Ovis aries: one gene and its partners. The protein of the gene in region 4 interacts with the protein of the main gene of each other region in a biochemical or structural test. Links are inferred from orthologs where the notes say so. Each region holds a gene or a part of one and is shown on either strand. Other genes may lie near its edges.

Region 1 (7,496 bases), on a different chromosome or scaffold from region 4:
AAGAAGACAGTGGTGGTGATAATCAAAAGTGAAGCAAATAATCAGATGTATTTTTGTCCCCCCAAACTGGAAATAAGGGACACGGCAGAATAAATTAGATCATTTTTAAAAACGACAATCATCCCAGTAAATAATACCAATGAAGGCAGTGAGCTCAGAAATTCTCGGTAACTCAGAAAATCACCAGGAAAAGGCGACCCCTCCAAAATGTAACTCATGCCAAGGACTGGTGTTAGAGGAGGCTGGCTGGCTTCTAGAGATCCCATTTCATTGTGATGTCTGGTCCTAAGAAGAGATTGGCCTCCTTTGGGCATAGCACTTGGCACCATGTCACACGTCCCTGTGTCCCTGTTCTGATCAGTGGACTCTAAGAACCTGCTGTGGAAGTGCCAGGGGCTGACTTATCCCTGGACACCCAGCATCATGAGCAGGTACTCATGTTCGACAGATAAGAGGAAGAGTGATAGGGTTAAAAAGATTTGCTTCTTTTTCTCAGAGCCCTACTCTTCCGGACACCAAGCCTCCTGGCTTTGCATGTTTTGCTTGGGAGAACTGGGCTGCAAGCAGAGTGGGGCTACACTTATCTTCCCTGGCAGCTGGTCACATTGCAAAGTCAACAAGACTAGTATAAGCTCCTTCCTTGGACGACACTGCCTGACATGGAACTGCAAGCTAAGGGGATTAATCTGATAAGAAATAAAACACTTCAGCACAGAAAAGTCTGAGCAAATCTTTATTGAAAATGTTTCCATCTTAACAGAAAGCCCCAGGAAGAAGCTTAGATGGATGGTTACAATCAAGATATCTGACCTCAAGAAAAGAAGAAAAAAAAAAAAAAAAAACACGTCTTAAATCTTAGCAAATATGTCAAGTATTTGATTTTATTGCTTTGCTAGTTTTGCCAACTTAAACTCCCTAATAGAGGCTGCTTCTGCACCTTCTCAAAGCTTCCAATCGTAAGTGGGAAAATCTTGCATAGTGTTTTTTATAGGAAACCAGGGCTTTTGATCAAACAGGCCCGAGACTCCCTTCTCTCTTGCCTACTCACACCACTGCCAACAAAGATGGGAATTTGTTATCTAAAATGCTATTTTAACCTTTTAAATCTAAAAAAATTAAGTCTGAATAAAACAATTCAAGATATCAGTTTTGGGGACTTGAGGCAGATACCAGAAAGTTAAGTCAAAAATAAACCCAAAGCAGAAAAAAATCCAAAGAAAAAAGGCATTTTTTCTCCAAAATGTTATTTTAAATGGCGAATCTATGTCATTCCCCAGAAAAGTCCACTACTTCTATATGGCGTCCTCCAACTAATGCTAGTTTCCCATGCATACAGCCACTGTCGGGAGATGAGCATTCTGGTGGCAGCTGTGCTTGGGCCCCTGCAAATCTGATGTTTCTCCAGCAAAAAAAATAAAAACAAAAATGGAAATGAAACCTGGCAGTCCTTCTGACTGAGGCTCTAGAAGCCCCAGGAAGGTTGGTGCTTGGCGGGGAGGTCTTGACTCCACAGAAGGGTGGTCCATGGAAGTTCAAGAGGCACATTGGCCATACTCAGCCAGGACCCACGCACCATGATCTCAGTGGATCTTGGCCTGCATTCAGCCCCGCCGGGTCTGGACATGGAAAGACATATACAGTCATTCTGTTTATGAAAGCTCAGCTCTCCTTGCAAGTATCCTCAAGGAGAGCAGCAAAACCATCTATTAAAGCTATATTTTTCTGAAGTACATTCCCCTTCTTAATAACCAAGTAATTAAAGCAAATCATTCCTCAGTCCTTCTGCTCTCCCCTGCCCCCACGCCCACCCCCAAGTATGCACTCTAACTCCCCATCCCTCCTCTGTCCCCCCCCAATCGGTCCAGCCCCTACCCACTCTGATGTTCCTTCCCACCCCCCACCCTCCACCCATCACCTCGCTGAGCCCCAGGTCTTGAGACCCTGCTGCCTAGACTGCAGAGCTGGCCAAAGCTGAGAACAGCAAACAAAGGAGCAATTGTGGGAACTGACACTCAAGGCCTCCAGCGTTGGTTCTGCCCTTGGAGATGCTGGCAGGACTGGTCTTCTCACAGGGCACCCCGCCCATCTCAAAATGGCAAAGCACAGGACGTCGCTGCCTGCAGACAGCTCAGTGGGGCTGCTGCTACCGTGAAGCAGGGGGCACTGGAGAAAGGGGCCTTCTTCAGGAAGGGAACATGATAGAAGTGAAAACCCTGGGCCACAGAAATTAGGCAACACCCGGCATCAAATCTTATCTTTAAAATCCCTGATTCCTTCCCAAAAGGGAACCGAAATGGAAAAAGAAATAAGAAAGGGTGAGTGAGAAAGATGGGGAGGAATGGAAGGAGGGCAAGAGGGTGGGAGAAAGTCTGGTTCACAATTCTAGCTTAGGGTAGAAAGTGTAGTTACGAAATGGCAACTTCAAGCAGAAATGAATCGGAGGGTTTGATCCCTGGCTTATTTTTAAATCCCAGTTTCAGGGAACAGGGTGCTGAACAGGAGGCTCTTGGGGGCATCAGCGCTAAAAGCCTTCCACGGAGAGCGTGTGGTTGAGCGCGTAGGTGTCGCTATCTTCTTCCTCCAAAAGCAGCTTATCGATGGTCAGGGAACCGATGGCTCTCCTGGGGTCCTCGGCGTCCGGGAGGACTGGCTCGGGGATGGAGATCGGGAGCTGGACAAACTGGGGCCCAGGCAGGGCTGGGGCTGGAGGCTGGTACTGCAGGGTGGAGGTGGGCAGCGTGGACAGAGGCTGAGGCCATGGGAAGTAGGTGAGGGGGGCCTGGTGCTCGGGGCCCTCCAGCGGGGGCCCCACGGTGGGCGCGGCGGCACTCCTCGTCTGTGATGGAGAAGACGCAGGGTGGTTAGCAGGGGTGGAACTGCTCACCCCAGTTCTTGCGGGGATCTCTGTTTGCCTCACCTCAGCCCTGTCCTGCCATTTCACTCCAGAGGGCTCTTTCCCCTGTGCAAAGTCTCCCCCAAGGGGGAAGCCAGACAAACTTCCACATCCCCTTCTCTGTCACTCACTAGGTATATGCCCTCTTATACTTCCCCACCTGAAGCCTCTGTTTTCTCATCTGTAAAACAGATTCCCCAAAGGACTGACATCACCGGGCTGAGTGAAGAACAGATGCTTTTCCAGATTTCATTGAATATAAAATGCACCCAGATTTCAGAGATATCAAAATATGTGTGTGCAGGGGTGACATGCATCTTAAAATCAATGATAAAATAGCATATTAAACAATAAGCCCATCACACAGCATAGCAGCTGTATTGCCAAGTGGCCGCTGCTGTGCCTAGACACAAAGACTGTCCTGGCTCCACACAGCAGGTTTGGGATTCTGAGGACCCCTTGAGCTCAGCTCCACTAGCTTCCCATTACCTTATCCTCTGCTATTGCTTAGCTGGGCCCCCTGTGGCCTTTCCAGGGACCTCCAAAGGTCAGGGCCATTCTCCCAGGCGCTCTGTAAACAGTATCTTTCACCTGCATGGCAGCCATCCTACAAATCCCAGCTCAAGCTGCCAAAACCAGGACCTGGACGCCACTGATGAGGAAGGAGGTAGGAGAGGACTGTCTTTGCATGGAATGATGTGTGTGAGAGAGGCCAAAACCTCCCCCATCACCCTCTGTCCCCTGCTACATTTCCTCCAGTGGCCACTGTGTCTTGAGAACAAACTATTAGAGTCATTAGTCCTGTGTGTTCAGTCATGTCTGACTCTTTGTGGCCAACCAGGCTCCTGTGTCCATGGAATCATCCAGGCAAGAATCATGAAGCAGATTCCCGTTTCCTACTCCAGGGGATCTTCCCTACCTGGGGATCAAACCCACGTCTCTTGTGTCTCCTGCATTGGCAGGTGGATTCTTCACCACTGAGGAAGAGCTTATTTCAATCTTTTGGGACCTTGCTGCAATGCATATTCTGGTACAGGAGGTCTGATCAGACCTGGATTCTGCATGTCTAATAGGATCCCAGGTGATGCCAATGCAGCTGGTCCAAGGACCACAGTTTGAGCAGCAAGGCTTTAGGGTATTTTTCTATAGAATAATAGAGCTGGAAAGGGTCTCAGAGGACTTTTCAACCTCCCAAAAAAGCCTTATCACTTCTAGTATTTAAAAAATCCAAATGGAAATCCTGCATACACCTGGGCAGGTCAATTACCACTGCAGATATCTTGGCTCAGGGATAGAATTACATCAACCCGTCATACAGGTCTTATCTCCTGCAGATCAGAAGTGGAAATTGTTAGCTCTAACCAGCTTTGATAAGTTAATTTACAAAACGGCAAGACAAATAAATTATTTCTTAATAAATATGGTTGGTTTGATACACAGAACTTTTCAAAGCAAGAGGTGGGATTGATGAAAGGGATAAGGAAAAGAATCCCTGGTCCTGAAATGGTTGGGAACCACTGTGTCCATCACTTCCCACCCCCACCCCAGGCCTCCGATATGGAAATGAGCTGCCTGAGAGGGGTGTTGAATGAACTGCTTCCCATCCACCATCATTCAGGTCCCACCACTGGTTTGCTGAGCAGCGGGTGGGCATGGAGGGACAGGGGTCCTGCAACCCAGGCCTGGATGGTGCTTGAAGGGGAGAAGCTTCAGGATAACACTGGACCTTGAGGTAAACAGACGGGCTTGGGGGGGCAAAGCAAGTTCCATCATCATGGGTGGGCTCTGCAGTGACTCATGAGAGCCTTGCTCTGCCTCCCACAGCCTTCCTTGGACTGGTGCTAGATATGGCTGTAACCACTGGTCTTTTCCCCTCTGAACACCTGGGGGCTTCCCATTCCTTTGGTCAAACAGCCACCATTCACATAAAACTATTTCTCTTCCTTCCTCCATTCCTAGGGGAGCAAACCCTTTCTTTCCTATCCAGCACTTGAAGATAGCACTTGGTTAATGCTATTGGTCAACTTTGAGGCAATCGTAGTTAACTCATATCTATTGAGTGCTTTCTGTATTTTGGAAACCAGGCTGAGCCCAGGAAGTGTTCTAAGCAGTCTAGGTGCATCAGGCCATTGATCATGACATCAACTCTTTCGTTAGTATTCCCATTTCACAGATGAGAACATTGGGATTCAGAGCATTAAAGCACTGTGCTTGGGGTCACATAGCTAGTGAATGAAGGGGCAGAGTGTCAGACAATCTGACACCAGAGGTGGAACTCAAAAAATTACCCTGCAGGTGGGTCTCTCTCCATCAAAAGTACAGTTTTCTGAAAAGTTGTCTCATGTGTTGCTCAGCCTAGAAATTTTCTGAAAAATCCCATTATTGGGTCAATAATCACCCCCTAAATCATCTGAGTAGAAAGGAGAGGCCGGCTCTGGCAAGAGACTCCATGCAAACATCACCTGGTTCCCCATTCAGGAAAAACTGAGGTCCATCCCTGAGACTCAGCATATCTGAGGCAGCAGCGCAGATAGGGCAGACCGGCAGGCAGGTGGGCATGACAGCCCAGGGAGTACAAGGCATGACAAAGGAGGCCATCAGCCTTTCTACGGGAGACATCTGAAGTCACTGGGAGTGAAAGAAGGCCTCCCTGGGCCACTCACCCAATAATGGGGTTTGTCTGAGCAACAGGTGACACAGCTTTTGAGAAAGCCATGCTTCTGGTGGAGTGAGAACCACCTACAGGGTAGTTTTTTGAATTCTGCCTGTAGTGTCAGATCGCCTTAAGCCCCACCCTGGAGGACACGGTGGGCTTAGATGATCTGATTATCCTGGGCATCAACAGCAAGGAAGGTCAGGAGCAGGAAATCAGCCCAGGTTCTAGAAGGGTGCCCTCTGCATAAATGCCTTCATGTGACGTACCGTGACGTTGGTGATGAGCGGCTGGGAGGCATAGGTCAGCACCGAGGAGGGCCCCACGACCGTGTAGCTGGGGCACACAGGCTGCACATACATGTCAGCCGAGTAGGGGCAGCTGACAGCCTCGTGGGGCACGTACTCCGTGTAGGGTGTCCATGGGGCCAGGGGCTGGAGGGCGGCCGGGGTGGGCTGGGAGAGCCAGCCCGCACACAAGGCCCCCTCCTCCGTCACTGTGGAGGCAGAGACCTCCATGTCAAGGCAGGAAGGACCTGCAGGAAGGAAGACGTTACAGAGCTGCACGTGACACCCAGACGAGGGGCTGGGAGGAGGCCGGGGCTGCGGGGAGCTCTTACCCACTGTGGTGTAGGTCGCCAGGGGCTGGTGGGGCAGCACCACCTAGAGGGGGGAAGGAAGATGGGGTCCAGGTTTCAGCCACCTCCAGCGAGCCGTCTGCAGGAAGCTCACCCAGAGGGTCCCAGGGCAGGAAAGGAGGGGGTGAAGGGCAAGAACCCCTGTCGTTAGAACAAGCACCTGCCCCCCGACCCAACCAGCACCACCTATACTTCCCAGGGGGGTGGGTGTTTCCCCTGAGCGAGAAGGCTGTGCACTTAGGGAATCAGTCTCACCCTGTCCCAGGGGGACCCTCAAATCCTATCAGGACGTGTGAGACACCTGCTGCTCAAGTGGGATTTCTCTCCCCACTTCAAGTAACTCAGCTTCTTCTGCCCTGGGCCAGGTCTCCAGGAGCCACACCTCTGCGACATGTGGTCCTCATGCCCTCGCTGAGGAGCCCATGGAGCAAGGACATACACCCGGCCTGACCCCCTTGGACCACTCCCCACTCCCTACACGCACACACACACTCTGATCACAGCAGCCCCCTCACCGCCGTCGGTGTCACCGATGTCCCACTGTTGGCATGGCCCCGTTTCCTCCGCAGCAGCTCCTTCACCGGCTCCTTCACACGCACACCCTGGTACGGCCGGGGTGGGGCCGGGGCTTGCTCTGGAGCTGTGGCTGCAAAGAGAGCATCACTGGTACTCGTCTCCCTGTGCAGACAGCCCCCAGCCCAAGGGGCCCGCTCTCCTCCAGGGTCTGCCTGCTCACCTAAGCTGTGCTTGAAGGTGCGGGACCACACGTGACTTCCTAGGACTTTGTCCCAGGGTTAGCACCCCTCCTGCCCCAAACCCTCTAGGCTCCCCTCCACCCAGAAGATGCAGGCTCGAGCACTGCAGCGTGATCTCAACCCAATTCCCCAACCTTTTTGTACACTAAGCACCTCCTGGATCCTGTCGGGCCAGAAGCTCTGTCTAGACTCCTCTCCACCTTCTGTGAAGGTCTCCCCTCCTCATCTCTGCCAGCGATCTCCCAGGGTCAGGAGTCCCTCTCACTATTCTCAACCTCTTGAGATTCTTCCTGACCCAAGACTACTACTACAACCCTCCTCGCTGACCACCAGGGCCCACAGACTTTGCTTCATCCTACAACCTCCTCAACACTTCCAGACAGGTTAGAATTCATCATAGGGGGCAGCAGAGGATGGCATAAGAGCAGGGACTCTGAGTCAGATGCCACAGGCCTCAAAACTTGCCTCTGACACTTTCTAGCTGTGTGATCCTGGGTGAGTCACAGGCACATCTCTCTGTGCCTCTTAACTGGCAATTTCTTATCAAAGGAGTATCGT
Region 2 (7,496 bases), on a different chromosome or scaffold from region 4:
ATAGAATTGTGTTTTAAAATTTGAGACTGAGCATGTTTTCATAGACTTATTGTTTCTTTGTCTCTGCAGTGCTGATTTTTGAGATTTCAAGTATAGGCAATATCAGTGAAGGTGACTTCAAAGTTTTGAAGAAATGGTGCTGTAAAAGTCAAGGGTCACTGTGGCTGTGATGATACCTGTGGCTATGATGACCTTCCCACTTTGACCCTTGTACTCTCTTAATTTCAGGTGATCATGGAGCTCAGCTTGGCCTCCATGGGGCTGGTGGTGATGGAATACATGATGACCCAACAGGTGGAGAGGAAGGAGAGAACAGTCCAGATCCCCAACCCCAAGCTGGTCGGAGGACCCGGCGGGAAGCATGCACTTGCCCCTACTGTAAAGATAGTGAAGGAAGGTAAGTTGATTCAGCCGGTCTCTTTAAGAGTGTAGGATGAAAAATTAGTAGATTAGGAGGGAAAAATAAGTGGTTTTTTTTGTTTTGTTTTGTTTTGTTTTAACTTTAAGACTTGGCAGGGTTACACAGGGATCAGAGATAGTATAGTGCATTTGGTTAGGCCGAATGTGGTCTTGATTCCAGCTCTGGTCCTTTCATCAACTCTTAGACCCTGGACCTTCAGAGATGCCTGCTTTCTGTTAGAGACAAGGAAGTCACATGGAGCCAAATGGTCAAATGAGTGTTACTTTATGTCTGTTTTGAGATGTTTGTTTTTACTCTTTAAAAAAATTCTGTTGGTGAGATGGTTTTAACAAGATAGCTTATAAAACAGCCTGGCAAAGAAACGGAAACATACCTACTGTAATGATTATTTTACAGTGACTGTGTGAAAATCATGAGTTTGTTTTTTTTTCTTCCTCAAAATAGATAAAACTACTTATTCTGGGTAGAAAATTCTTCAATCAAATAATCTAATATCACCTACAAAACAGACTTCTGATAGATTTTTGCATTAATGTGCTGGCTATACAATATTATCTCTGAAGAGTTCCAGGTTATTTCTCTTTTCTTCAAGTCACTGACTTTGAAAGAGAATAGAAAGTCATATAGGTTTCTAATTGCCTTTGAAAAAAGTCTGTTAAAGTTTTGCCCCATTAAAAATAAGCACAGGGGACTTCCCTGGTGATCCAGTGGTTAAGAATCTGCCTTGCAGTGCAGGGGACTCAGCTTGATTCCTGGTCAGGTAACTAAGGTCCCACGTGCTGCCAAGCAACTGTGCTTACACGCTACAACTAGAGAGTCCATGTGTCGCAGTGAAAGATCCTACATGCCGCAGCTAAAGACCTGACACAGCTGAGTAAATAAATAAATACTAAAATAATAATAATAATAATATGACAGAGTTTCCCTGGTGGCTCAGTGGTAAAGGATCTGCCTGCCAAGGCAGGAGACACAAGTTCAGTCCTTGATCTGGGTGGACCCCACATGCTGCAGAGCAGCTAAGCTTGGGTGCCACAGCTGTTGAGCCCCGTGCCCTGCAGTAAGAAAAGCCTCTGCACCTGGGGAGAAGCCCCTGCGCATTGCAGCTGGAGAACCTCCACACAGCATCGAAGGGCCAGCACAGCCAAAGTAAAGAAATTACGTTTTTTTTTTAAAAAAGAACTTAAGAAAAAAATAAGCACAAAAATAAGAAATGTACAAAAACAAAAAACAGTTTGAATTCTTTGTAGGTTACTCTATATTATGGAAAAAACCCGAATCAAAAACACTTAAGTACATGGACTTCCCAGGTGGTCCAGTGGTTAAGATTACACACTTACAGTGTAGGGAACATGGGTTCAATCCCTGGTCGGGGAACTAAGATCCTGCCTGTTGCATAGCACCCCCCAAAATTTAATTAAAAGGGGAAAAAAAGCTCTTGAGTACAGTAGAGTTTCCCTCTCACAAAGCTTCAAGTGGATTTAAGTTTTTGAAATAAATTCTCTGACTTCCACCTAAGTATGATTTCATTTCTGTTATGTTTTTTTTCTCTGCTCCTCTGCTAATGTGTGCTGTTAAAACCCAAGGCAAATCTCTTTTGGAAATCTCCATAGTGCCCACTAATGGATCACACATGGTACAAATTGGTTTGGCAAAAACATTTCAGAACTGATTTCCTGAGAGGAGCTTAGGATTTGCTCCATATAGGGAATTTTTTTTTTTTTTAAATATACCTTGAATTAGTTATGGTCCTTTTTTCCCCTTTTTAACTTTTTTCCATCCCATCTTCTTCCACTGATGTCTCTCATAGTACTCTATCTTTTCAGCTTTTAATCTTTACCTTTTGGCTCTTGACCTTTATTTTGGAGAAGGGAAAGCTTTGTAGTTGTAAAATATTATGTTTTAAAGTTCTCCACCAAATGCTTAATGGAGAGACCTTTTGTTCACTAATAAGTTCCCAGTCAAAAATATCACCACATCACCATATTCACAGTGGCTACCATGGAAAATGCATGTATTGAGACTTAACATCCAGAAAAATACAGGAAAATGCCTCATAGATTTCACAAGTCACCTTGAAAATGACATCACACATTGGAATTGACTATAAAGATTTAGCTGTTGATATTAAAAGTGAAGGCTTTTGGGAATTCCCTTGTGGTCCAGTAGTTAAGACTCTGCACGTTCACTGCAAGGGGCACAAGTTTGGTCCCTGATCCAGGGACTAAGATCCTGCATGCCATAAACAAATTTAAAAAAATAAAATGAAAAAAAAAAAAAGAATTGAAAAAAATAATAAAATAAAATAAAATGAAGGCATTTGTGTGTGTGTGTTGAGAAGTCTTTTTTCTTTTTGTAAACTGTACATATCTAAGTGCACATTTTGATGTTTATTTATTTATAGCTACACTAGGTCTTTATGGCTCTGTGGGCTTTCTTTTGTCGTGATTGGGGGCTACTCTTTGTTGTGGTGCACCGGCTTCTCATTGCAATGGCTTCTCTTGTTGCATTGCACGGGCTGTAGGGCCCGCAGACTTCAGTAGTTGCAACCCCTGGGCTCTAGAGCACAGGCTCAGTAGTGGTGGCACATGGACTTAGTTGCTCCATGGCATGTGGGATCTTCCCGGAACTGGTTCGAACCTATGTCTCCTAAGTTGATAGGCAGATTCCTTTTTTTTTTTTTTTAAATAAAAACTTCGATTAGTTTTGAGTGGGTCCAGTAATTACTGTGGGTACTTTATGACTCTAATTTTGTCTCTAAAATGAACAAAGAATAATTGTGTTTTCATTTCCAGGGGCTCTGGGGATCCTGGCAAGAAGAAACAGCACATTTGTCACATGCAAGGCTGTGGCAAAGTATATGGCAAGACCTCACACCTACGGGCACACTTGCGCTGGCATACAGGCGAGAGGCCTTTCATGTGTACCTGGTCATTCTGTGGGAAACGCTTCACACGTTCAGATGAGTTACAGAGGCACAAACGCACACACACAGGTGAGCGGGAACTTGGGAAGGGAGAGGTAGTAATGGACCAGAATGAAAAGACAAAATATACCTCGGAAGTAACTAAAATTTCTGAGCAACTTATGTTTGAAATTGAATGTATGGATCATAAATGGCATTGGAGTTAATCTGAAAACCCTTAAGAAATAAGGGTTCTGAAGGTCCTATCTTACTTTTCTGCTATACTTCTTCCTTTCTGAGGACTCTCTAATCTTTACTCTTTTTTCCCCCCAAAAGACAAAAGATAATCACCAGAATTTTCTTGTTTTTAATCACCTTTAAGATTAGTCTTATTCTGCCTTATATAGTTTGAAGGGAATGAATTGAACAAGGTATCCCTACTTCCTAAGATGTGATTGTCTCATCTTCTTACTCTTCCTTTACCTAGGTGAGAAGAAATTTGCCTGCCCTGAGTGTCCCAAGCGCTTCATGAGGAGTGACCACCTGTCAAAGCATATCAAGACCCACCAGAATAAGAAGGGAGGCCCGGGTGTAGCCCTGAGTGTGGGCACTTTGCCCCTGGACAGTGGGGCAGGTTCAGAAGGCAGTGGTACTGCCACCCCTTCAGCCCTTATTACCACCAACATGGTAGCCATGGAGGCCATTTGTCCGGAGGGTATTGCCCGTCTTGCCAACAGTGGCATCAATGTCATGCAGGTGGCAGATCTGCAGTCCATCAATATCAGTGGCAATGGCTTCTGAGGTCAGGCACCTGGGGCCAGAGACGTATGGGCCATACCCGTCAACCCTGGGATGCAAGGTAGCATGGGTCCAAGAGACGCGTGGGAGAGTGAGCCGTGAGGCATTGAAATGCGTGGTGGTGGGAAGAATTGGGGGTGGGACACAGAAGAGATGGGGTCCTGGCACCCACCTGTGTCATCAGTACCTTCTTAAAGTGGGAAACATAGTGAAAATTCTGTTGGTGCCACCTTTGATGAGCATTTGTTTGACCCCAAACAGTTTCTGAACACTTCTTACCCCAGCCTCCCCTTCCTGCATTTCCCTTCTCAGCTCCCCCATGATGGATCCCCCCCTTTCCTAAAGCCATCATGCCTTGATAAATATATATGATCATTGAAATACTTTTTAACAAAAACAGATTCTATATTATATATATATATATAAAAGATATATAGAGATGCATTTGCAGGGGTTGGCTGGGAGGAGGAAGGAGACCATTCGGTGACCAAAATACCTTGGTCATTTTTTTATATTGCCTTATTTCCTTATGGCTGAGCCTTGTTGTGACACATCAAGATTTTCTATAGATGTTGTCTTGGCTTCCCACCAGATTAAGCATTTATATGCTCTGCTTTTAGTTTATATATACATAGATAATGTTTTCCTTTTCTTAATTTTGTCTTTTAATTTGGGATCAGCTTCTTGCACTCTTTCCCTGACTCAACCCTTTCTGTCTCCCCTTCTCTCACCTGATCACTTCATGTTTTGTTTTTGGTAGTGGTCCCTGGATGAGGCACTTCTGTCATGTTTTTATAAAGTCCTTAGTCCCAGCAGCAGAATGGAGAAGCCTTGAAGCTCAGGCGAATGCTTGAGGTAGCTGTGAAGAGAGTGTTCAAAATACTACTGACGCAGGCACCCTTTTGGTGCTGGAGAGTCAAAGGCACCTCTCTCTTCATTAGCTGCTCTAAGCATCAGGAATCAGAAGTCTTTCTATGGAATTGTACAAGAGACCTTTGAAAGTTATAGTCTGGGATCAGTTTGTGCAAACTGTGAAAAGATGGTCAAATAATAGGTAGGAGCTTTCAATAGGAAAATGATGTGCTCAGAAGTGGAAGTGACTCAAGTAGTTCAGTTCAGGAGTTAGTGGAGTATTTGGACCTTTGTGCAACTGTCTTCCAAGGTAGCTCTAAGCTTTGATGTGTGGGCTTCTGAGTTCACGTTCTGAAAGGAAATAACACTTCCTCTTTTGAACATCTCCAGTAGTTGCTTTCCCATTATGTTGTTATGGAGTGTCAGCCAGTGACTGTTCTGGATTTCCATTCTGCAGAACTCCAGAGCATGGATCAGTGGCAAGGCAATGGTTCTTTGATCTTTCCCCTTAGCTCTTCCTAGGGTGGCTCCTGAGGGGAAAGGAAGCACTCATGATCATGGGAATGATAGCCCAGAACAAAAAGAAATCTTGTCTTACCACTGTGGCTTATAGGGGAGACCAGGGAAAACCATCCTGCTTTTCTCCATGGCCTGATTCCTGAAGAGACTGATCCAAAAATTACAGCGGCAGGGAACTCTTAGTGCATTTGGCACTGAGATTTAAATGCAACCAGAGTTGTCCTCAAGGCCCAGCCATTAAAACATTGTCTCTCTTGACTTTCTGGTACCTCGTCAGAGAGCTTTTCACTGTGAGGAAGTGTGGAAATGGCTGTGTGTATGTGTGTAATCTGTTAGATTGGGGATAGGTTTTCTGTTAGCCAATACTATAAGAGACCTGCAATAAAAAATTACCCTAATCTGATAGAAAGTGAAGTGTTTGTGTATGACCGTGTGTGAATGTGTGTTCGTGCTTGTATATATCTACACACAGATGAGAAATTATATTTGAAATTGTTGGAAAATAAATCAAATTCAGATCAAAATGCCTTTCAGGCCCATTACCTAGAAATCTATCTTAAAACCTGGGTATGTTCCTGAGGTCATTGCTTTGCTTTTGCTAAACTAGTTACAATTATGAATGGGGGATATTCTACTGCACTTTTAAAAGAAGAAACTATTTTTGTGTTTGAAAGTGAAACCAACATCCAGATCTATAGCAGAGTCCTAATTCCTCTCATAATTCTATTTACCTTGACTATAAATAGATGATGCCATGATTCTACTATATATTTTATATAAAATCTATCCAAATTAGGGTTTGGGTAAGTTTATGTTGTTGTTTAACCTGAAATACAATAACTGTTAATATTTTAAACAAAAGCTCACTCCATTTGGTTCTTTCTCTGCAGACTTAATAGTGTTTTTGACACAGAAGCTATTGCAAGGAACTTTCCCCTTATCAAATTGCATTAATACTGAAGTAAAAGTTATCTGCCCAGCCACTTATCACACCCTTTGTTCCCACTGAAAGGCAGAACTCTGAACATGTTATTTTATATCTGTAATCATGTACATAGGCATCTTCTGGAGGAAAGGGGCAAGATAACTCACTGGAGTGTGCAGTGTTTTGATAGAACATTTCAAGGAATGGAGTCTTCCCCGGAATGAAATTACTAGATGTAATCTAGCTTAATGATGCTGAAGCTTACACACTTTCAGGTTATTTGATGATGGTTTTCTCTGGGATGGAATGCTGGTTTACCCCCAGCTCTTAGCACAAGCAAATTTATATCCAGTTCTTTCCACTTGTCCTAGTTCCTTCTCACCAAGGAAGCTCAAGATTCAGTATCTTGTTTGGCCCTAAAACGAAAGCCGCTACTGCTTTTGTCTCCCAGCAGCAGTAAGTCACTCAGTCTTTTCCACAGGAAGTTACCCACATTCCTTGAGTCAGGAGCTTATTGCTGAAAGTCCCTTTTCCTGAACTTTTTGCCGGAAGAAATTAGTGTAACTGACAGGCATATTGATTCTAATTTTTTTTTTCACAAGTTGCTCTTTTATGTAACTTTCTAATGACCAAACCTTGTGGGGTTGGGGGTGCCCAGAGAAGTGATAATATTATTTCCTTGTCCTTTCAGGTTGCCTGTTCACATGTATCTGCTTATCATTTGATTGTCTCACTTTTTACCCAGAGCAGTAACAACCCACATCGTCTTCCTTCAGGGACTTCCCAGCGGGCACCCTGTTTATGGGTGCCATGTAGAATGCAGTTTAACAGACATTTCTAAGAATTCAGAATAGAACTCTTGATCCCAGAATGTATAGACTGAAGTGTTGGGTAAAGATTATGACTGGGGGAGGGTTAGAGACAAAGGCTGTAAATTACTATGGCTGATTGGTTGATTTCTACTATATACATATATATATTTTTGCTTTTGTATATCCTATATAGGAAACTAAGCATTGTATTTTTTTTTTTTTAACAAATCTAAGAAAGCACTATGAACTGCAGATGTTTGACTTTCA
Region 3 (7,496 bases), on a different chromosome or scaffold from region 4:
CAGGGGCAGGGCCTGGGCCAGGGGCGGGGCCTGATTAGGGGGCGGGGCCCGGACCAGTGGCGAGGGGCCTGGAGCAGGGGCGGGGTCCGGGCCAGGGGGCGGGGCCTGACTGGAGCGGCCCGGACCAGGGGGCGGGGCTTGCACCTTCTATGGTGGCTCAGATAGTAAAAGCGTCTGTCTACAATGCGGGAGACCTGGGTTCGATCCCTGGGTCGAGAAGATTCCCTGGAGAAGGAAATGGCAACCCACTCCAGTACTCTTGCCTAGCAAATCCCATGGACGGAGGAGCCTGGTCATGGGGTCGCAAAGAATCGGACACGACTGAGCGACCTCACTTTCACTGTCACTTTTTATGGCCCCTGGGAAGCAGGTGCCCTCACTTCCACCTTCTGTCTCTGGAAGCGGCCTCAGAGAGATGACCTCCTGGGCTTGGTGGTCTCCATGGTCGAGTTTGCTCAGATGGTTCTTGGAACAGTCTGTCTTTTGGGGTTGTGTCCGGATCAGGAGGCAGCTGGTGCCTGGCAGAGCCAGCTGTTGTCTCGGGGACCCCTGAGGCCTGGTCCACTGCCCACTCATGCCAACCCGCCTAGTGTGGGCACTTCTTGTCTGAACCCCGACAGAGCTGCCCAGGGCCCCAGCAGCTCATCTCCTCCCCTGGCTCTGATGGTCTCCTGGTGGGATGTTTTGCTGAATGCCTGGGAGATCTGCTTGAACCAAGGGTTCTCCTTGTTTCTGGGGCTCAAACTGTCCTTCCTGACAGACCTGAGTTCTCCTTTGCTGAGTGTCATTCATGTCTGGGATCAGCGGTCATCTTTGTGGAGGAAGGTCCCAGTAGAGCAAGGCCAACCCCACAGAGGGAGGCCCCCCATAGAGGAAGGCACTGCCACCCCAGTAGAGGAGGCCCCCCATAGAGGGAGGCCTCCCAGAGAGAAAGCACCGCCCCCATAGAGGGAGGTCCCTGTAGAGGAGGGCCCACCAGTAGAGGAAGGCACCCCCATCACAGTAGAGGAGGCCCCCCATAGAGGAGGCCCCCCCATAGCGGAAGGCCTGTCCATCAAGGAGGCCCCGTAGAGGAGGGCCTGTGACAAGAGCTCTGGGAACTGTCTCCCTGGGGAGGGCAGGACAGCCATCTCGAGAGGGAGTCCAGCACAGGCCCCCCTGCCCAGAGAAGTGTGGCTGACGGTGTCAGCGTGTCCCGCGGGCTCCCTGCCACCCGGGAGGCGCCCTGCCTCCAGGACTCCCCACTCCTGGCACAGGAGGGCAAGATGCCTTTGAGGTCTGGAGCCCACCCCCTTCCTGTCAGCTGGGCCTGTCCGGAGCTGGTCTCGGGAAAGCTGGTCTTGGGAAAGCTGGTCCCGGTCCCCTCGTCAGCCCCTTTGTTCCTGGGGGGCCCATGCTCCCTTGTGTCCCCTGGCCTTCCAGAAGCAGACAGAAGGCTGGAGGGTTGGTACGAGGGGTCTCAGCCGCCTTCCTGGGATTGGCTGTGTTCTTTGTAGCGTAGCCACCACGCCCGGATCCTCACTGGCTGCAGAGTGCCTGCCGCTCAGCGAGAGGCAGATGAGGCCCAGACTGCACCTGTCCCCTGGGAACCAGGCCAGAGGCAGCACCTGCTGGTTCTCAGGCCTGCAAAGCTCCTTGCTGCCCCCAGGCCTGGTGCCTGCCCTGCATGCCCCCAGGGCTCATGTGCGGAGGAGCCTGGGTGTGAGTCTGAAGTGGGGCCTCTGCGGAGTAGGGCTCGAGGGTGGCAGCGATGCCCCCAAGCCTGGGGTTAGCCTGTCCGGGGGTAGGGGTGGGGCGATGCTGGGGGGTGGGGGGTGTGGGGCCTCGTCTCTCCTAGTAGGTTGCTTCCGGCACACAGCGAGGCTCCCGCCACGCGATGGGTGCTTGCTGAGTGCAGGTGCTTGTGAGCAAGGAGCCGCAGGTCCCGAGCCTGATGCCGGGGCTCAGGGAGTGGAGGGGTGCTGGTGTGTCCCCCGACGTTCAGTGCTGACCCACTGCTCAGCTGTCCGCCTGCCCTTCTGTAGGTCAGTCAGGCCGCAGGTAGCTTAGCCGCGATCTGAGCCCTGGGCTGAGCCTCTGGCCACCATCCCTGGGAAGGCCTCAGTCCCCACCACCCTGCCCCCCATAACTCCTTCCCTGGGACCTGAGTTCAGCTTCTAGGCTTCAGCAGTTTGTCTTAGAAACTTGGGGTTCCCCATATTCATGGAAGTGTGGGTGGAGTTCGGGGGGGCACCCCCCCACCTCCGCCTCAAAACCACAACCGCGAAGTCAAGGGGCCGGAACCAGTGAGGCGGTCTGACTCCTGCTGCTGGCGGGGATGGCCCCCGACTCGACCGCGCCCTGCAGGGAAGTGGATGCGGGTGGTGCTGGGAGCTCTGGGCAGAACCGAGCCGGGCTGCGGGCACTGTGGCCTGAGCTGCCCCTCTTCTCCCCTGGTTCAGGGGCTCCATCAACCCAGGGGGCGTTCCCCACCTCAGCCCAGAGCTCGCCTGCAGTGTTGGGCACGTGTGGGCACCTTGGCGCCCTGGCCTCGCCACCCTGACAAGCCTCCTTGGGCAGGACCTGCATGGGCCCTACCTGTCCTTGCTGTGGGCACTGCGGCCGTGAAGCTGCATCCACCAGGCCACGTGTAGGAGTTTGCCCTCGGCCTTGACGGGCAGGCAGAGGCCAGTGGGGTCCAGGGGCCTCCCACCCCATGCTGACGGGGGTGATTGGCCTCACCGGCTAGGGCTGGAAAGGAAGGGTGTGGTGGGCGTGGACGAGGGGCGGCGAGAGACAGGAGGAGATCTGGGGCCCCGATGGAGCCGGGTGGTTATCTCAGCAAGTCCTGAAGGCTCTGCGGGAACTGAGGTGAATGCTGAGGACGCGAAAGGGGAAATGGGACGGGCCCCCACCCTGGGCACGCTGCGGAGCCGCCACTGACGCTGACCGTGCCTGAGGGCTCCGTCCCAGGTGCTAAGGCCCACCTCAGGTTATGGAGGGCGGACACCGGTCCCGAGGGCCTGCCTGTGGGGGGCTTGGGGACAGGACAGGTGGGCCCTACCCACCCAGCATGGTTTGGACAGACACAGAGGAAGTGCCCGAGTTCCTTTCCGGGGTGCCGCCCAGCGGATCCAGCTGCTCAGGGTTGTGGCCGGGCTCGCAGGCCTTGGGCGCAGCCTCCGGCCCACACCGGTGTCCTCAGGGCCCCTGGGGACCTCCCTTAGCCTCTGCTGCTGACCGGCCACCCCGGCCACCCCGGTCTCCTGCCCTTTTACCAGCAGTCCTTTGGCGTGCCCTCCTCCGAGCATGTGCTTGGCGGCTCCCTCTGGCTGGGTGCTGCCTTGCGTCGTCCGCGGCCTGGCCGGCCTGGGGGCGGCCCCCCCGAGGCCCCAGTGTTCTGCAGAGGCTGCTTGCTGTACCCCGAGCTGGGCTCATGAGCTCTGCTGTCAGCGTGGCCCCCCGATTGCTCCAGCATCCTGACGGCGACCTTTGGACGGAGGCACTCCTGTCTCTCTGGTTTTTACACGAGAAGCCTCAGGCCCAGGGCGATTAGATAATTCCTCCAAAGTCACTCAGGGAATGAAGGGGGCAGAACCCCCATGGTCAGCTGTGGCCGCCCCCCCAACCTCCCGGCGAGCCCCACCCGGGCAGGGGGCAGCGAGTGGCCTTGGGTGCCTGGCTGGGTGCTCAGTGGATGGTCTCGCGGCTCTGGGCTGGCCTATTCCTGGGGCCCTGGACACTCTTTCAGCATGCAGGGAGTCCCTCAGAGCTGTGGCTCCAGAGGCCTGAGCTCACACCTGCGTCACCCCTTAAAGCTGTGTGCCCCTGGCTGGCCTCTGCATCCACTCTGGAGGGGGGCGGGCGGCTCTTCCCGCTCACTTGGGGCTTCCCACAGGGCACAGCCCAGCACGATGGCACTCGGCAAATAGCTGGAGCCCCCTCTGAGCTGACCGTCTTCCGGAAAATGCTCCTGAAGCCTGCAGACTGTGCTGGGGGGTGGGGGGTATTCTTTGAGCCAGTGGGGTCCTCTGGACACCCCTCGCCCCTCCCCTTGTGTCCTGACAGCCCCACATGGCCATAGCTGGCCTCCCGGCCTCCCTGCAGCCCCCTGAGTCCCGTGGGCTTCAGTCTCCTCACGGAACCAGGTGGCCACCTGGGCAGGCGAGCCCAGACGTCCAGGGCTGGAAGAGCCCGTGCAGGTGCTCGCGAGTGCTCTGTGAGCACCAGCTCCTCCTGTCCTGGGAGGAGGGGGATAGGAGTCAGGGCCCACAGGGAGGTAAGGGGGTGAGGCTCCCGTGTGCAGGAGGAGCCCGGCCCAGGGCGACCCGGGGGCAGCGCGGCGGCCGCAGTCCGTCCAGAGGCGCTGCAGGACCTGACTTCCGCCTCGGTCAGGGCTTTGCAGAAGTGAGGGCATTGGGGGGCTGCCGGCTGGCGCCCTGGCGCCTGTGGGGCGCGGCTGGCTTGCAGGGTGCGGTGGGAAGCACCCCTGGGCCCTGGGCGCTGACGGGAGAGTTGGGGTGGGCGCAGCGGAACCAAAACTGCTGTGTCACTGCCGAGGCAGCTGTTGCCACGGTGACCGGTGAGTTTCCCACGCTTCCTCCTGGCGCAGCGTCAGGATGGCGGGAGGGGCGGAGGGGGTGTGTGTGTGGGTGAGGCTGTGTGTGTGTGTGTATGTGCGAGGACTGTGTGTGTGTGTGTGTTTAGGGGTGCTGTCTCCTCCCTCTCCCCTCCCTCCTCTCTGGGGTCAGGCTTCGGTGCCCATCCACGGGCTGGGGTCCCTAAAGCGCCGGCCACACCAGCGGGTCCCAGAGCTCTGGCTGGCCGCTGGGGGCAGTGCCCGGGGGTGGCAGGCAGTTCTCACTTAGGCGGACGAGGGGCAGGGGTGGGAGCCGGGGCCTCCTGGGTCCTTCTTCGAGCCTGGGGTTCCGTGGGAGCTGGGGCCGTGGGGGCAGTACGGCCTCCTCCAGCCTGGCCAAGACGACGGGGCGGACATCCTGCCGGGCTCCCTGGGGCTGGGCCTGCCGGGCCACATGGCTGGGGGTGGGTGAGGCCCCCTCCGAGCCCCCGTTTCTCTCTCCGTGGAGCGGGGCGTGGCAGTGCCTTCCTTGTCCCGCGGACGCCCCGTGGCGCCTGCCAGGGCCGACCCCACTTTCCCTCCGCAGCTCAGCTCGCCCATGAACCCCGTGAGCAGCAGCGAGGACATCAAGCCCCCACTGGGCCTCAATGGTGTCCTCAAAGTGCCGGCCCACCCCTCAGGGAACATGGCGTCCTTCACCAAGCACATCTGTGCCATCTGCGGGGACCGCTCCTCAGGTGAGCCGCGGGACCCCCGGGGTGGGGCGGCGGGGGGCCGGGGGCGGGGCGCGGCGCTGGACCCCGGGGGCGGGGTGGGGCGGGGCCGAGGGCGGGGCGGGGCCAAGGGCGGGGCGGGGCGGGGCCGTGGGGCCCGGGGGCGGGGCCGTGGGGCCGCGGCGGGGCGGGGCCGTGGGGCCGCGGCGGGGCGGGGCCGTGGGGCCCGGGGGCGGGGCCGTGGGGCCGCGGCGGGGCTGCAGGACCCTGTGGGGGTGCCGGGGTGGGGGGCGGCAGGAGCCCGGCCCTGCCAGCGAGGGTCCGCGGGAGCTCCGAGCCGCTCACCCTGGACCTCCTAGTGCTTCCAAGTCCAGGAGATGGTGGGCGGGGCGGGTGGCTCCGGTGGAGCCAGGGGGCAGCTGGGCTGTGCCCAGGGCCAAGGGCCCCTCGCATGCCCCCCCGAGCCCAGCAGCCCCGCTGGCAGACCGGCTGAGCCTTTCCGGGGCGCCTGCCCGGACCTGGAGAGGATGAGGGCTCCAGGCCCCCTGATCCCAGGCCACGCGTGGCGCTCACGGCTGCCCCGCCCGCAGGCAAGCACTACGGGGTGTACAGCTGCGAGGGCTGCAAAGGCTTTTTCAAGCGGACGGTGCGCAAGGACCTGACCTACACCTGCCGGGACAACAAGGACTGCCTGATTGACAAGCGGCAGCGGAACCGCTGCCAGTACTGCCGCTACCAGAAGTGCCTGGCCATGGGCATGAAGCGCGAAGGTAGGCCTGCCGGGCGCGCGGCCCTCCCTGCTCGCAGCTCCTTTGCGCAGTTCTGATGACGGGGCTCAGTACCCCCAGAGGCCTCCGCTGCCGCTGCGTTGGCACACATCCCTGGGGGCCGAGTTCTCTCACCCACTGACTTTTGCCTGAGCACCAGCTTCGCGCCAGGCTCTGGGGTTACAGGAGGGACACCCTGGGTCCTGCCTGCCGGCGGCTCCCAGCCCCACTGGGGACAGGCATCCATCAGAGCCTCTCCGAGGTCCTGGTGGGCCCACGAGTGCGTGGGCTCTGGGGGGCTGCGGTGGGAGGTGGGGGCTCCACCTGGAACGAACCCCAGAGATTGGACAGGCCGGTCCTGGGGCCTGCTTGTTGCCGCTCGGTAGGATGGTTCAGGAGACCCGGGGCTGGGGGGCCGGGCAGGGAGCGCTGGACACCATCAGGACAGCTGAAGCATGCTGGGCGCCGGGGTGTCCTGGGCTCTGCTTCCTCCCGCAGATGGGGCGGGGGTGCCTTGCGCCCCAGATCCTCACAGTAGAGAGACTTGGGCTGCAGGCCTCCGCCTCAGGACTGGGGCCAGGCTTCGTCGACAGCAGGTGTGTGTCGGGCGGTGGGGCAGGGAACATGAAGGCTGCTCCCCCGGGGTCACTGAAACTGTCCTGCTGTCCTGCTGGCCGGGGCCTGGGCCTGGGGCGGGCTCCTCCCAGCCCCTTGTTGTCTGTGGGCCTCGGCTTCCCTGGCCCAGGCTTGGGGGCTCCTGGCTGGGAGGTGCTGTCTGGGGTGAGGGTCTGCATGTCCCTCTTGCACTGTCTGCTCCCCGGTCCCCACAGGCTGGTGGTGTGTGTGCCTTCCCCCCAGCCATCCCATGGGGGAGCCGGGCGGCTGTCTGGTCGCCCCGCGTCCTGTGGGGGAGCCGGGCGGCTGTCTGGTCGCCCCGCGTCCTGTGGGGGAGCCGGGCGGCTGTCTGGTCGCCCCGCGTCCTGTGGGGGAGCCGGGCGGCTGTCTGGTCGCCCCGCGTCCTGTGGGGGAGCCGGGCGGCTGTCTGGTCACCCCGCGTCCTGTGGGGGAGCTGGGCAGCTGTCTCGTCACTGGGCACTGCCCTCTTGTGGAGGCTGCAATCTCCGTGTCATCCATTCGTCTGTTTCCTGGGCTCCAGGCCTTCTTGCTGACGACTCGAGACCTCAGCTGGGCCAGTGGTCCTGCAGGATCTGTGCCTTGAGGCTGAGAGGCAGTGATGGGCTGGGGGTCTTGGCGCTGGTGAGGGGCAGTGTGCCCATGGACCCCGCAGAGCGGCACCTCCTGGGCTCCAGCGTGAGCTGGGGGGCCGGCCTGGGCCTTGGTCTGCCCACCCAGCCTTCCTGATGAGGGCGCGTGTTCCATAGAGACAGTGGCCCACCCCTCTGTGTGCGGGTGGAGAAGCTGAGGCCCAGAGGGTCTGGGGCTCAGCCACGGTCACAT
Region 4 (7,496 bases):
TCCAAATAAATCAGCTCTTCGCATCAGAGGGCCAAAGTATTAGAGTTTCAGCTTCAACATCAGTCCTACCAATGAACACCCAGGACTGATCTCCTTTAGGATGGACTGGTTGGATCTCCTTGCAGTCCAAGGGACTCTCAAGAGTCTTCTCCAACACCATAGTTCAAAAGCATCAATTCTTCGGTGCTCAGCTTTCTTCACAGTCCAACTCTCACATCCATACATGGCCACTGGAAAAACCATAGCCTTGACTAAATGGACCTTTGTTGGCAAAGTAATGTCTCTGCTTTTGAATATGCTGTCTAGGTTGGTCATAACTTTTCCTTCCAAGAAGTAAGCGTCTTTTAATTTCATGGCTGCAGTCACCATCCACTGTTTCTACTGTTTCCCCATCCATTTCCCATGAAGTGATGGGACCAGATGCCATGATCTTTGTTTTCTGAATGTTGAGCTTTAAGCCAACTTTTTCACTCTCCTCTTTCACTTTCATAAGAGGCTCTTTAGTTCTTCTTTACTTTCTGCCATAAGGGTGGTGTCATCTGCATATCTGAGGTTATTGATATTTCTCCCGGCAATCTTGACTCCAGCTTGTGCTTCCTTCAGCCCAACGTTTCTCATGATGTACTCTGCATATAAGTTAAATAAGCAGGGTGACAATATACAGCCTCGACGTACTCCTTTTCCTATTTGAAACCAGTCTGTTGTTCCATGTCCAGTTCTAACTGTTGCTTCCTGACCTGCATACAGGTTTCTCAAGAGACAGTTCAGGTGGTCTGGTATTCCCGTCTCTTTCAGAATTTTCCAGTTTATTGTGATCCATGCAGTCAAAGGCCTTGGCATAGTCAATAAAGCAGAAATAGATGTTTTCTGGAACTCTCTTGCTTTTTCGATGATCCAGCGGATGTTGGCAACTTGATCTCTGGTTCCTCTGCTTTTTCTAAAACCAGCTTGAACATCTGGAAGTTCACGTTTCACAAACTGCTGAAGCCTGGCTTGGAGAATTTTGAGCCATTCCTTTACTAGCATATGAGATGAGTGCAGTTGTGCGATAGTTTGAGCATTCTTTTGCAATGCCTTTCTTTGGAATTGCAATGAAAACGGACCTTTTCCAGTCCTGTGGCCATTGCTGAGTTTTCCAAATTTGCTGGCATATTGAGTGCAGCACTTTCACAGCATCATCATTTAGGATTTGAAACAGCTCAACTGGAATTCCATCACCTCCACTAGCTTTGTTCGTAGTGATACTTCCTAAGGCCCACTTGACTTCACATTCCAGGATGGCTGGCTCTAGGTGAGTGATCACATCATCCTGATTATTTGGGTCGTGAAGATCTTTTTTGTACAGTTCTTCCGTGTATTCTTGCCACCTCTTCTTAATATCTTCTGCTTCTGTTAGGGCCATACCATTTCTGTCCTTTATCGAGCCCATCTTTGCATGAAATGTTCCCTTGGTATCTCTAATTTTCTTGAAGAGATCTCTATTCTTTCCCATTCTATTGTTTTCCTCTATTTCTTTGCACTGATCACTGAGAAAGGCTTTCTTGGCTCTCCTTGCTATTCTTTGGAACTCTGCATTCAAATGGGTATATCTTTCCTTTTCCCCTTTGCTTTTCACTTCCCTTCTTTTCACAGCTATTTGTAAGGCCCCCTCAGACAGCCATTTTGCTTTTTTGCATTTCTTTTTCTTGTGGACGGTCTTGATCCCTATCTCCTGTACAGTGTCACAAATCTCCGTCCATGGCATCAGGCACTCTGTCTATCAGATCGAATCCCTTAAATCTATTTCTCACTTCCAGTGTATAGTTATAAGGGATTTCAATTAGGTCATACCTGAATGGTCTAGTAGTTTTCTCTACTTTCTTCAATTTAAATCTTTATTTGGCAATAAGGAGTTCATGATCTCAGCTACAGTCAGCTCCCAGTCTTGTTTTTGCTGACTGTATCGAGCTTCTTCATCTTTGGCTGCAAAGAATATAATCAGTCTGATTTTGGTGTTGACCATCTGGTGATGTCCATGTGTAGAATCTTCTCTTGTGTTGTTGGAATACAAAAGTAGGAAGTCAAGAAACACCTGGAGTAACAGGCAGATTTGGCCTTGGAGTACAGAACAGCAAAGGCTAGTAGAGTTCGGCCAAGAGAACACACTGGCCATAGCAAGATCATTAGGTGAAATAAAATTACTGAAGTATAGATTAGATTGGGTATTTCAGTAGAATCAGGAAAAGCCTGATGGTTTTTTCCCCCAGAGAATATAATTACTGTTTGAAATTTAAGCCAGCACTAAAGTATTATCCAAATTATTTTATGTTGAAAGTGTTGTAACATACCACCTACTCTGGTAGATAAAAAATCAAGAATGACATCCCTGTTTTGTTCCTTATATTTCTTTGGTAATTTATTTTAGCTCAAAGAAACATTATATATTGAGAACATAAAATGTTTTTCAATAGATATAATAATTTTAGAGAAAATGCATATTTGTGAAGAGTCTCAGTTATGAGGAAACAAATTGTAATTCACAAAGTTTTTAGTACTTTGGAACTATCTAAACCATCTGACTGGCTTTTTAAAAGAAAGCTAAGATAATATAGAACTAGATTGGTAGAAATAAATTAATAAGCTTAAATAAGTATCAGGTTGGCAGGTTTAGCAGTGCTTCAGCTCTTAAGCTATCAGCATAGCATACTCTTCGTTTCCTAGGAGATTGTTGTCCGAGTGATATGGCAAGACTGTTAAGGCTTTTAAAAACCTTTAACTTTTATACCAAATAGTGGTTCGCCCTTCTGTGGCAATTTGACCCAACACACTGGCAGGGTTGCTTCTCTCTCTTTTTCTCTTTCTCTCTCTCTTGCCTTTTTTTTAGTATTTATGTATTTGGCTGTGTGGGGCCTTAACTGTGGCACACAGACCGTCGACACCTCATGCAGGACCTTCCACAGGCGTGTGGGCTCTCACTGTGATGCGCGGGCTCCGCTACTCCGCAGCGTATGGGCCCTCGTTGCCCAGTTAGGGATCACACCCACATCCCCTGTATTCCAAGGCAGATTCTTAGCCACTGCGCTAGCAGGAAAGCCCCTCTCTCTTGTTTTGATAAAGGAGCTTCCCTGTGATCTGTGTTCTGCTTGCGGTTTTATCCTGTTATTTGACACGTCGCTTCCTTATTTTTCAAATGACTTTGACTTAGCAGTGGCAGCGTTTCACAGACCTTGACTGTGTGTATTAAGGCGCACATTACTGATGCAGGATGGGAAGATCAACGTGTTTTATGTCAGATACCTCAATTGTGGTTGTTTTAAACATTGCTTTGTATGCAGTTTATATACATTCACTCAGAGGGTAAGTTAGACATTCAAGTTATTAGTTGAAACAGACAAATTCCTGTTCTCTGAGTAAATATACACGTTATTAGGTGTTTTAAACAGTATTTTCTAACTACATAATTTGTTAATTAAAGGATTGCTGTAGATGTTATTACATAATTAGAAGGCATGCCATATTCTATACACCATCCCTCACATGTGATACATTCATTATTTCCTAATCTCAGTCTTCATTCCTCTTTTTCTCTGCTTTTAAAATAAAAAAATCAAAGTGATATTATTTAGTTCAGATTATGTATGAGTTAACTGTTCAAACATTTACCCTGTGAGGGAGAACCCAAGGTGGTTGTGTATTACGGAAGCACTAAACCATCTGATATCAAATTAGTGAAAATTAGTATATTAACTCAGAGAAAGCAATGGCAACCCACTCCAGTGTTCTTGCCTGGAGAATCCCAGAGACAGTGGGCCCCCGTCTATGGAGTCGCACAGAGTTGGACACGACTGAAGCGACTTAGCAGTATATTAACTGAGGCATCTGCTGCTGTTTAGACAATGAAAGCCTTTACGTGTGATGGTCTACTTCTGCTCTGCTTCTATGAGACGGTATATTCGGAGCTGTCAGTGAAGCCTTCTATGATTTTGTGTCTGTGCTGTCCAGTAGGATAGTCACTCTCCACACGTGCCTCCTGAGTACTTGAGAGGCAGCTAGTGGTGCTAAGGAATGACATTTCTAGTTTATCCGCTTTGAATTCATTTAAATTACACACGCAGCTGGTAGCTATTCTGTGGGAAAGATTAGAATATAGATCAGTTGGAGTTCAGTTCAGTCACTCAGTCGTGTCCGACTCTTTGCGACCCTATGAACCGCAGTACGCCAGGCCTCCCTGTCCGTCACCAGCTCCCAGAGTTCACTCAGACTCATGTCCATCGAGTCGGTGATGCCATCCAGCCATCTCATCCTCTGTCGTCCCCTTCTCCTGCCCCCAGTTCAAGTATTCTCAGAGTCTCATTTTATCTTTATCCAACATTTCTCCTCTGTTAAACTTTCTGATACAGTTTGCTCACCAGTAAGAAAATGGAGTTTAAAAAGAAATATTCTTTCTTTTCACTGACTAACCCCTTATGTAAGTGCTAATAGACAATGTTCTATCCAAAAGGTGATTTATAAAGGAGATAAATCAAAGGAGTGAGATATTCATAATTCAAAATGAGTGTTGCCAAGATAGTTGGGAGTTGACTGTCTTAGTAGAATTAGCTATGTAGTATTTTGGACCAGAAATGTTGCCTTTCTGTCTTGTCACTAAACTATTTTAAATGAGAGTGTGAATTATTTCTGCTGTATAACTGGTGGCTCAGACAGTAAAGAATCTGCCTGTGATGCCAGAGACCCAAGTTCGATCCCTAGGTCAGAAAGATCCCATGAGAAGCGAATGGCTAAAAAAAAAAAAAAAAAAGAAGAAGAAGAAGGGAATGGCTACCCACTCCAGTGTTCTCGCCTGGAGAATCCAAAGGACAGAGGCTACAGTCCATGGGATCACAAAGAGTCAGACACAATTGAGCGACTGACACTTTGTATCACCTATATATATATACAATAAGAGAGGTTTCAGCTGGAGGAAAAGCCCTCCATACATTTCAAAGGCTTATAGAGAAAGATATTTTTTGCAGTATATTCAGGGGATCATTGTTCTATTGCTATAAGGTTACCAAGTTTCCAGTGCCCATAAAGGTTTTGACTAAATGGGTCAAAACTCTCTACTGTGAATTTCTATAATGGTTACAGAAGTAGTCTTTTTAGAATACCTGGTTTTTATAACAAACTTTGAAATCCAAACTAAGAGTGCAAAGATTTTTTTTTCACAGCTTCCAGAAATACTTTACAGGAAAAAAATTAAAGGACGAAGCATAATTTCTAAGATTTAAAGTGATTTATGTGAAGTTGGATTAGTTCAGAAATATCTAAGGTTATACAGACAGCTACATCTATTAACCCTGTAGGTGATACAAATTAACTGATTTCTAAAGATTACTTAGGTCACTTTGGTTGCATCAGTTACTTGGTAGAATATCAGCACTACCTTTTGAGAGTTAGCAGAAATACTTGATATTTCAATTATTAAGAAGAGATTCAATATGGAGAGAATATGGGACAGTTTTGAATGTTGTCACCATTGAGGCCTAATTAACAGGAACCTTCACTGGAATACTGTGCTCAGCTTAGGGATGGATGTTTTTGTGGAACCTGGTAAATGGAATGATTGTTGATTCTTTGTCTAGAACAGTTACTGGAGCAGCACCCTCGAGTGAAGACCATAAACATTACATGAATCTTCTCTCTCTCTCCTTTCCTATTCTGTATTATTGTACAGGGCGATGTTGGGCTTGCTATGGGTAAACTGTATGGAAATGACTTCAGCCAAACTACCATCTCTCGTTTTGAAGCCTTGAACCTCAGCTTTAAGAACATGTGCAAATTAAAGCCACTTTTGGAGAAGTGGCTAAATGATGCAGGTGGGTAAATATATAAAATATATATATATTTCCCTGTTGATCATTGAAATTTTACAGGAGGGATTGTTGTATAAATGGGGATTACATTTCTTATTACATTATTGATACTACAGAATCTTAAAGCTCACTAATCTTGGGAGAATCAATATAAATTATGACTACATAAATTAGAGAGCTAATTCATTTAAATAGTCTAGTAATTACAAGGTACATAATCAGCAATAGTTTTTAGCTTTGGAACATTTCTTGTATTTGAGCCCAGAATGAGAGACAGTTGAAGGAAGTTGAAGAGGCTAAGAAGGCCTATGTATTTAAATAAACTTGAAAAACAAGTTTATTGGTTCTTCCTCCATGGATTATTATAAATTTGTTCCTGATAGTATTTCTGCTTTGTCATTAAAAGTGACCACACATTGGTATGTCTATACAATGGACTATTACTCAACCATGAAAAAGAATGAAATGTTACCATTTACAACAGCATGGCTGGACCTAGAGAATATTATATTTAGTAAATAAGTCAAACAAAGACAACTACTATATGATACCACTTATATGTGGAATCCAAAAAATAATACAAATCTGTATTCATGTAGAAACAATCACAGACATAGAAAAAAAAACTTATAGTTACCAAAAATGGGAAAGGGAGGGAGGGACATATTAGGAGTATGAGTTTAATAAATACAAAAAATACAAATTACTACTGTACATAGGTAAGCAACAAAGACCTGCTGTATTGTACAGAGAATTATATTCAACATCTTGTAATACTCTGTAGTAAAATACAATCTGAAAAAATGTATTTATAACTGAATCACTTTGCTATATACCTGAAACCAATAAAATATAGTAAATCAATTATACTTTGATTTTTAAAAAATGACTACCTTTTTATACATTTAAAAAAAATTGAGCTATTAGTTTTAACTTACATGCTTTTTGCTGCAGTTTCCCTTTGGAGATTTTGAATTTTGAGTCACAGAATCATAGACTGTTAGAGCTGTAAGGAATCATAGGGATCCCCTAGACTGTGGTTCTCATTGTAGGTGTGAACAAAATTCAGGTCTTTTGCAAAGACAAACCTATAACTCCCAGCTTTGAACAGTTCCACATATGGCCTCAGCATCTGTAATCTTACTGAGTTCCACAGGTGTGAACCTGTGGTCTGTTCCCTTCGTAGAAAATAGAGTGGAAAGAAACTCAGAGATGTCTCTGACATGCTCAGGGTCATTAAACTATTAAATGGCCGAATCTTGTTTAAACTTTAAATAGTTTAAAAATGTTTCATTGTTTGGTTTGAGGGGAAGGAGAGAAATACCAGTGAAATAAAGTGAGAGGTCATTTGCAAGATAAACGTTTAACAGTCAATAATTTCCAGGTTTTCTTCCTTTCATCCTTAGAGTTAATAAATGAAAGAGCAAGCAAAACCAAATCAGAAGAGCAGAACTCTCTCATGGAAGCTGAAGAGGTAGAGCTTAGAGTAAAGAGAGGAGCAGTCGACTACTGTGTCAGAACAAGTCAGAGCGTAGCAGGCGATCTAATGAGCCGTCCTGAGACAGGGCCAGCAAGAGCAGTGGGAAGGCCCATGGCAGCGAGCACATTCTAATACAAGTTATAGTAACCTTCCATACTTGCTGTTAGCCTGAAATATTTCGGTTG

The links.
Region 1: the proteins of POU2F1 (region 4) and POU2AF1 are reported together in a solved structure, tested with the Homo sapiens proteins (2 studies listed by BioGRID, with this or other methods). The link is inferred for Ovis aries from reciprocal best matches to the Homo sapiens genes POU2F1 and POU2AF1.
Region 2: the proteins of POU2F1 (region 4) and SP1 form a complex in vitro, tested with the Homo sapiens proteins (3 studies listed by BioGRID and IntAct). The link is inferred for Ovis aries from reciprocal best matches to the Homo sapiens genes POU2F1 and SP1.
Region 3: the proteins of POU2F1 (region 4) and RXRA form a complex in vitro, tested with the Homo sapiens proteins (2 studies listed by BioGRID). The link is inferred for Ovis aries from reciprocal best matches to the Homo sapiens genes POU2F1 and RXRA.

What each region holds. Positions count from the first base shown.
Region 1 is NC_056068.1:21,326,693-21,334,188, forward strand, and holds the end of POU2AF1 (POU domain class 2-associating factor 1), read right to left. Parts: intron 6,830-7,496; coding exon 6,699-6,829; intron 6,209-6,698; coding exon 6,166-6,208; intron 6,082-6,165; coding exon 5,816-6,081; intron 2,837-5,815; coding exon 2,522-2,836; 3' UTR 721-2,521; downstream 1-720. UniProt on the Homo sapiens protein: Transcriptional coactivator that specifically associates with either POU2F1/OCT1 or POU2F2/OCT2. It boosts the POU2F1/OCT1 mediated promoter activity and to a lesser extent, that of POU2F2/OCT2. It recognizes the POU domains of POU2F1/OCT1 and POU2F2/OCT2.
Region 2 is NC_056056.1:133,091,893-133,099,388, reverse strand, and holds part of SP1 (transcription factor Sp1), read left to right. Parts: intron 1-228; coding exon 229-397; intron 398-3,213; coding exon 3,214-3,413; intron 3,414-3,810; coding exon 3,811-4,124; 3' UTR 4,125-7,496. UniProt on the Homo sapiens protein: Transcription factor that can activate or repress transcription in response to physiological and pathological stimuli.
Region 3 is NC_056056.1:1,869,547-1,877,042, reverse strand, and holds part of RXRA (retinoic acid receptor RXR-alpha), read left to right. Parts: intron 1-5,144; coding exon 5,145-5,295; intron 5,296-5,861; coding exon 5,862-6,041; intron 6,042-6,536; coding exon of another isoform or gene 6,537-6,634; intron 6,635-7,496. UniProt on the Homo sapiens protein: Receptor for retinoic acid that acts as a transcription factor.
Region 4 is NC_056054.1:119,589,794-119,597,289, forward strand, and holds part of POU2F1 (POU domain, class 2, transcription factor 1), read left to right. Parts: intron 1-5,692; coding exon 5,693-5,834; intron 5,835-7,496. UniProt on the Homo sapiens protein: Transcription factor that binds to the octamer motif (5'-ATTTGCAT-3') and activates the promoters of the genes for some small nuclear RNAs (snRNA) and of genes such as those for histone H2B and immunoglobulins.